Linked DNA regions of Cricetulus griseus. The protein of the gene in region 2 binds, or shares a complex with, the protein of the main gene of each other region. Links are inferred from orthologs where the notes say so. Each region holds a gene or a part of one and is shown on either strand. Other genes may lie near its edges. The genes, in order: Ctnna1 and Ctnnd1.

Region 1 (4,532 bases), on a different chromosome or scaffold from region 2:
AGCAGTCTGCAGCATGCAGCAGTCTGAGGATGCAGTCTGAGCACTGGTGGAGGTGAGAACTCTCTAGGGGCAGGCTGCTCTGCTGCTGTGATCTTTCAGCTTTCAGCCTGATAGCTGACTGCTAGAATTCGTGCTACACTAGATCTTGAGACATAACTGAGAGTTCAATGCTTAAAAAAAAAACTTTATCAAGAGGCCTACACCCCATCACCAAACCAATCTTTACCCCCTTTTCCAAAATACAACTCCATTCATCCTGATCACCTTTATCCACATTACCTTCCTCAGTCAACTCCCTGCTTTTAGACACGAAAGAATTCAAATCTCTGAGCACCAACAAAAAATAAAAAGCTGCTCAGATCATGGAAGGCCCTAGAATGGCTTCTTACAGCTTTAGAATAAAATCTACACACAGCCATCTGTGACCTGGCCTTTGCCTTCCCTGACCACCTTATTAAACCTCCCTATTTCAGTACTCATAATACAAAGATCATCTCTACACCTCTAGTCCTCCAAATACTGTGCCAATGCTCAGGCTATATACATCTGTTAAGGACCCTATTCCTTTATTCTGGTCTAGGTTTTAGCCAGTACACTTAACTATCACCACCTTCAACAAGCAGGGCTATCTGTGCTGTCAGTAATGTGACTTTAAAAGAATTCAAGACCATTCGTACCAGTTACTCTGGCTCTCCACATCTGGTTGAGATCTCCAAAACAGAATTAAGTCTCACATCAGATATGGTTTGAGAAGCCGTGGGATATACAAGGAGACCCATGTGGCTCAAGAGAGACACCTAAACCCAAAAAAAGGAGCGGGACGTTAGCAGCTAAGGTTGATGGCAGAGGTAAGGGGGGTTGTACAGCTCATGGTACATTATTTGACTAGCATATACAAGGCTCTAGGTTTGTTTCCCCAACACCACAGAGGGCAGAAAGGGGGGTTGATGAGAGAAGGCACAAGGCAGTGATTCTCAACTAGGAAAAAAGACACCCCTCATCTCTAACCAATATATAAAATGTTTCTGATGGGAATGGAGGTGGTACTATATAACTGGTGCTGAAAACCAATGTTCTCAGGATAGATTACATGCAGGAAAGGGAGGGAGTGAAAACTAAAGAAAAAAAAAAACAAAAAACAGAACATCAGATTCCCCACACTTACATGCCCTTTTATGCCTTTCCCCTACTTTCTCCTGCCACGTGACTTCAACTCGTGCTTCACCCAATTCAAAAGCCACCACCTTCCAGGACTCCCAGACTTATAAACGTATTAACACTCCAAGCATCTGTGAATTTCTGTTGTTTGCATTATACACAAATTTGACCCAGACAGGTGTTACGTATGGAACACGTCTGAATCCCAACAATCAAGAAGCTTAAGCTAGCGTGGATTTCATAGTGAGAGCCAGTCTGAGGGGAAAAAAAAAAAAAAGGATACGACACTAGAGAAACTTCTGATCCTCAAACAAAGAGTAATTTTAAAACCTATTTTCTGACTTAGTTGAATCAGGACGTATAAACAATTGAGCAGAGGCTACGAATGATTTCCCCGCTCAATCCTTTTGTAAACTAAAACAAACTCCGTTTCTTAAAGTAACAACCACCTGTAGTCTTTAAGAATCAGTTAAACACAAAATATCCTTTTCAAAAACACCTATCATAAAGATACAATACACATACACAATACAGTGATGTATGCATGAGTTTACATTATAAATTATTGTGCATTCTATACAAAACACACAAAAAATGTTATGAAGACGAAGAACTTAAGAGGGTATCAACCGTCAATTTGAGCCAACTGCTAACTGAATTACTGGGATGGCCACTGCTTGCAATCCAAGGCTACCCATCCAGTCAACATTTTTCCTCCAAGTTCTACACACATTAACAAGTTCCTTTTAAAGGAAGGCGGGGCATTGACATCGCAGGCTTGCAATGTCCGCCCTCGGGAAGCTAAGGCAGGGAGCCCGAGTGTTCCAGGCCATCCTGGGCTACTTAGCAAGACCAGCCCTCGGTAGCACAAGGTCAGTAACAAGACCCTAACGCCACTCCTGAAAACTGGGTGTAAAGTCAGTCCAGTCAGGCAGAGAACGCGGATGAGTAATTTTAAAGTAAAGATTAACAACTTCTTGCCACAGGTTCACACGGGTGTGGCGCACCTTAAAGGACAAGAGCCCTGGAGAGCAGGAAGCTACGGCTCTCACACTCCGTGGGTCGGACTGGAATGCCAGCTCCCCCGACCTCTGGCCCCCGCAAACGCCCAACTTTCAGCGAGGGGGAGAAAGGGGGGAGGGGCGCGGCCGGCACAAATCCAGGGAACAATCGCGACCCTTAAAACACCCCACCGCCGGAACGCCAGAGACACTCCGAGGTCGCCTCTCAGCGGGGGAGGCGGCCCGAGGCGCGACGCCCGTCCCGCGAGCGCGCGCCCTGCTCGGGGAACAAAGTTTAGAAAGAGGGAGAAAGTTTTCCGAGAAGGCGCCGCGGCGGTAGCTCCGCTTCCCGAGCGTCGGGCTCCGCCCGCCCAGGCCCAGGCTGCTCCGGGAAGCCGCCCTGGCCCGACGCTCCCCAGGGCGGAGGCCGCCCAGAGCCTGCCTGCGCCGTCACCCGGACCCCGGCCAGCGGAGACCCTCGGCCCACCAGGGGCCCCGCGCGCGCCCCGAGGGGAGGCACAAAGATTTACCTGCGGCGAGCGAGGAGAACGCAGGACGACTCCTGAGGCGCCAAGCCGACGGCCGCCGCTTTGTCTCCCGCCCGTCCGGCTCCCAGGAGGAAATGGGCCGCCCTGCGCTCCCGCCCCCGGCCCGCCCCGCGCCGCGCCCGCCCGCCCTTCCCGGCACCTCCCTCCGCGCGCTCTTCCCAGCGCCTCCCGCGGCCTCCACACCGCTCGTCCCGGCCTGCGGCGGCGGGCGCTTTCGGGGAAGAGCCTCCCTCCGGGATGGTAGCCTGGCAACTCCAGGCTGGGACCCCCAGAAGTCCCTTTCGTTCGGCCTCGGGGCGCGCACAGCCTGACCCCCGACGGGAAGGAGGGGCGGCGACTCACGGAACAGCCCGCAGCCGGGGAAGGCGGGCGGAGGGCAGGTGAGTCACCGCTCCCAACTCAGGTGAGTCTCGGGGCGCGGCCCCGGAAGGCCCCGCCCCGTCCGACGTCCCGGGACCAGCGTGACGCCGCGGGGTCCTGCTGGTCTCACTCCTGTGGCGAATGTCATCTTGTCCCCTGGTCCAAGGCGCCCAGAAAAGGGGGCAGCCTACTCCTTGCTTTACCCGAAGAGAAACAACTCCAAGTAAACGTTCCACATCTCCCGGCACAGTGGAACGGGAATCCGATTCTCAGAACGGTTTTTTGTTTTGTTTTGTTTCGGGTTTTTTTTTTGTTTTTTGGTGTTTGTTTAGTTTTATTTTTGAGGTAGGTTCTCACGTAGGTCAAACTGGTCTTGAACTGGCTATGTCGGCAAGAATAAACTTTTTTTTTTTTTTGCATTTGGGCCGAGGGGCGGCACAAAGCTTGTGCTTGTGTACAAATCAGGATAATCTGTGGTTTTCTCTCACCATGTGGGTCCTGGGGATTGAACTCAGGTTGCAGGGCTGGGTGGCCAGTGCCAACTTGCCTTAAACTCTTGATTCTCCTGCTCACCTCCCAGCTGCTGAGATTATAGGCCTGCACCATTACACTTGGTTTGGGGCCTCTTAAAGAGTGGGCAGATGAGAGAGATGATCAGTGGGTAAAAATGTTTGCCCTCTACCAACAATGACGTACTAAGAGTATGAAGGCCACAGAGTTGACCTCTGACTTCCACCCTGGTGCAGGTGGCATATTCACCCACACAAAGTAATAAATTTTAATTCTAGGAAAAGTGGTTTGGAGATGCCTACTATGCCCTGGGTTCAGTCTTCAGCACTACAAACAAAAAAGGCCATTCTTGTCCAATTACATGCTTTTTGTTTCTAGTTTGGGGGTTTTGACTCTGGTGGTTTGAAAGATAGTGGCCCCCCAAAGAGCACTACTGGGTGTGGGTTCGTTGCCCCATTGGAGAGAATGTGTCACTGGGGGGGGGGGACTTTCAGGTCTCCTATATTCAACCTAACCCCAGGACACAGACTCCTTCCTGTTGCCTGCTGATCAAGATATAAGAACTCTCAGATCCTTCTGCCTGAATGCTGCCATGCTTCCCACCATGGACTAAACCTCTAGAAAGGTAATTGGAAATTGGATCTCCATTAAATGTTTTCTTTTCTTTCTCTCTCTTTTTTTTTTTTTTTTTTTTTTTTTTTTTTTTTTGGCTTTTCGAGACAGGGCTTCTCTGTGTAGCTTTATAGACCAGGCTGGCCTCCAGCTCAGAGATCCACCTGCCTCTACCTTCCAAGTGCTGGGATTAAAGGCATGCACCACCACGGAGTTGACTTTAACAAGCAAGGAGGCACAGCCTTTTAATCCCAGCACTCAGGAGGCAGAGGCAGGCAGAGCCCTGTGAGTTTGAGGCTAACCTAGTCTACAGAATTAGTTCCAGTACAGTGAAGGCTACAAC
Region 2 (3,808 bases):
TGCAAAGACAGTTTTAAAAAACAATTTTAATTGTGTTCTAACACCAAAAACATAGCTTAAAAAGCTCTCAGGAAGCCGGGCGTTGGTGGCGCATGCCTTTAATCCCAGCACTCGGGAGGCAGAGGCAGGCAGATCTCTGTGAGTTCAAGGCCAGCCTGGTCTCCAGAGCGAGTGCCAGGATAGGCTCCAAAACTACAAAGAGAAACCCTGTCTGGAAACCCCCCCCCCAAAAAAAAGCTCTCAGGAACCAGAATGTGAACACTCACACTCTCTGTAATGCTCCTTTCTCTTTCACCAAAAGGGAGCCAAATCTTAGGCAGAAATTATGGCATAGCAACCAAGTCTCTTCTGTCTTTAGGACATAGACCAGTAACCATCACTAATCACTTTGGGGATACAGAAATGTTCATATAGTAAATTGTCCAAAGCAATCTCAAACTTAAATGCAATCATATGCCTCAGCCTCCTCAGCAGCAGAATTACAAGCGTTAAGTCATCACACCTGGCCACAAATCACTTTCTCACCAACTGTGGTGACACACACTTGTAATCCAAAGACTTACAAGTAGAGGAAGGAGGATCAAGAGTCCAAGGTCATCTTCTACTACATTAGCCAGACTGGTAGATAGCCCGAGCCACTTAGACATCTCAAAAAAGCAGTAGCAAACAAACAAAAAAATCTCTTAGTATAACTAAAATATGACTCTAATAACAAGAAAGAAAAAGAGAGCAAATCAACATTCAGTGAGCCTTCTATGAAAAAGAGAAAGGAACCAGTATCCAAAGGTGTCACTGACCCCAAAAAGCTTAGAAGATAATTCTATGCCTTTCCCATCTGGAAAGTCTTTCTTCCCCTATTCCTGCCCACCTGAGGCGTCGTCGAGGATCCGAAGGTGTTCCTGTCCGACGAGCAGTGCCATAATCGGACATCATGCCATAATCTAGGTCATCATAGCCCATGCTGCGCTGGTCATCCTCTAGCCCATAAGGCTCTGGATGAAATCGATGTAGATCCACACTGCTCCCACCTACTCGAACCTGGGGCTGGGGACCATAGACATCTTGTCTACTTGGTGCCCGGTAGCCTTCCATGCTGGGTCTATACCGCTCCTCAATTCGGGTCACCCGGGACAAACTGCCATAGTTGTCACTGCCACCTGGATAACCATCTTCATAGTGTCGGCCATATCCATCTGGAGGATAGTGGAAGTTCCTAGGAAGGGTCGCAGTGCCTGCCTGCCCTACATAGGGACCAGGGCCCCCATTGCCATTCTTGCGAAAATCACGGCCCAAAGTCTGGATATAGTTGTTGGAGACCGATGAGGCATCCACAGGCAGTCCATCTGGTCCCATGGGGACTGGCTGTACTGTCCGTGTTGTCACTGTCTTCACAACTTTCTTGACCTTCAGTTAAGGAATGAATGAGAAAATGAAAAGCAATTATTGAAGGAAATGAAGAATCTAAGTTTAAATTCCACACTACTCTAAGAAAAAAAAGAAACCCTACCTTCTAGATCTTTACCTAGAAATGTCTCATGTGTGTTATCAATACCTTTTTTCCATCCCACAAAAGCCCTTAAGTGAGAAAACTCTCCTGTCAGTAACAGACTCTTGGGCAACTATTATAGTTGTCATACTCCCTTCTCTTCCCCCTTCCATTACATTTTCCTACATTTGTTTTACCTTTTCTGTTTGCCCAGTGATCATTTTCTTTCTGGCAATCAGTGACCTGCACCCATCTACCTGGTTAACCTCATTACTAAAAGATCACAGAGGACCTATCACTCTAAGACATGAAAATTTCAGCTCACTGTGGTCTCTGTACGCCTAGTGGTCCCATCATCTGAGGTCTCCACAGAAACAACAGACATGGCTCCTTCAGGGTCCTCCTCTGTGTAGGTTTCCACAATCTGCCCTGGCTCCTGCATCCTGGGGATAGTGCTATACAGAAGGTGGTTGTGATCCTATGAGAGAGAAAAAGAGTAAAGCCACAACTAGAACTATGCAGTAATGATCCATCCTAATAAGAAACATTAATGCCTCTAGAGACAAGAAGTCTTCAGGCAAATCCAACTAGCCTCAGTTTTAGCAAGAGTGGTTGTCATCTTTTAAACTTGTAAAATGGCAGGGCATGGTAGTGCACACCTTCATTCCCAGAACTCAAGAGGCAGACATATTTGAGCATTCCAGGCTAGCCTAATTTAAATTGCAAATTCAAAGCCAGCCAGGACTACCTAGTGAGAGACTATCTCAATAAATAAATAACTTGTGTAAAGGACAGTAAATAGAATTTCCCTGATATAAAAACAGGTCTAGGCTAGGCATTGGTGGCACACGCCTTTAATCCTAGCACTCAAGGGAGGCAGAGGCAGGCAGTTTTCTTGTGAGTTAGAGGCCAGCCTGGTCTACAGAACAAGTTTCAGGACAGCCAGGATTCACAGAGAAACCCTATCCCAAAAAACCAAAGAGGTAACTAAAACCACGCTGGCATTCTAGTGGCAAAAACAGCAGATTTATCTTCCCATTCTGGTCACCTACTTGAATATAAACTGTGTTAACTGTTACCTCGACATCTGAGTAATGCTTCAAGAATAAAAATCTTTCAAGATTTAAAAAAAAAAAAAAACTAGCTGGGCGTTGGTGGTACACACCTTTAATCCCAGCACTCAAGGGAGGCAGAGGCAGGCGGATCTCTGTGAGTTCCAGACCAGCCTGGTCTATAAGAGCTAGTTCCAGGACAGCCTCCAAAGCCACAGAGAAACTCTGTCTCGAAAAATAAAAATAAAACTAAACTAATACACCAGGCCCAGCAAGAGTTTCATGTTATTCATCAGATACTGTTATTCCTTTGTTTAAAAAGAAGAAAAGAGAAATGCTGAGACATGAGACATAAGGCTATAAGTTTATTATAAGGCCCGGCAGAATGGGGAGACTAAGAAGAGGAACAGGGTAAATGGCTGACCGCCACGGCCGGTCGCCATAGAGAGACAGAGCGAGAGCATAGGTGGGAGACAGAGTAGAGCGGGGGGAGGGGGGGGGGGGGGGGGGGGGGGGGAGGGAGAACAGAGAGCACAGAGCACGTAAAGGGGGCAGGGACTTATCTTTTAAAGGGGTCCTCTGCACCTGCGTGCAAACTTAGTTCCCATGGAACCTTGGGCTGACCAGGGTACTGCCTGTTCCACCAGGTAACAGGGGCAGGCCAGCATAATGCCTGAACCTTTCAGATACTACCCAGTCAAGATTTTAGGTAAGGTTTTCTATAACGTAGAATTATGCCCCCTCTCCCCGACAAAAAAAAAAAAACTGTAATACCAGAGGATCAAATGAAGAGACAGGAGTAGCATGATAAAAGCCATTGATTTTTTTTTTAAATCAACAAAACTATATAATTTGGAAGGCACCCTTTTACTTTCCTAAATTAAAGAAAGACTGAAGAAGTAAAAAGATATGAAGTCATACAGACCTTGAGTCAAAACAATTACCTGTGGTCCGTTGAGTTTCAAATCTGAAAATTTCTGTCTCTCAAGGTCAGCATCGCCCATAAACCGGCCGTTCTGAAACATAGCCCACAAGACAATTCATTTTCTGGCCTTCCTTTGTTCTTTCAAACACAAACATCTTTCTTTCCAAACAGAAAAAAAAGGGCTTTCAAGAAGGTGTTTGTGTCCTGAAATCCCATGTCAGTCTTCATAAAAGACCCATAGCATTCCTTAATGTTAAGTTACCACTTTCCTCAACATTGAAATCAGGCCTAAAATTCTGGCAGACAGAGTCTCTGGAACATAGAATGTTAATTTCCATGAGTACA

The links.
Region 1: Ctnnd1 (region 2) and Ctnna1 share a complex: the UniProt entries of both Homo sapiens proteins name them as parts of the cadherin:catenin adhesion complex. The link is inferred for Cricetulus griseus from reciprocal best matches to the Homo sapiens genes CTNND1 and CTNNA1.

Annotation. Positions count from the first base shown.
Region 1 is NC_048595.1:202,375,317-202,379,848, forward strand, and holds the start of Ctnna1 (catenin alpha-1), read right to left. Parts: upstream 2,839-4,532; 5' UTR 2,690-2,838; intron 1-2,689. UniProt on the Homo sapiens protein: Associates with the cytoplasmic domain of a variety of cadherins. The association of catenins to cadherins produces a complex which is linked to the actin filament network, and which seems to be of primary importance for cadherins cell-adhesion properties.
Region 2 is NC_048599.1:90,912,308-90,916,115, reverse strand, and holds part of Ctnnd1 (catenin delta-1), read right to left. Parts: intron 3,555-3,808; coding exon 3,483-3,554; intron 1,965-3,482; coding exon 1,812-1,964; intron 1,405-1,811; coding exon 869-1,404; intron 1-868. UniProt on the Homo sapiens protein: Key regulator of cell-cell adhesion that associates with and regulates the cell adhesion properties of both C-, E- and N-cadherins, being critical for their surface stability.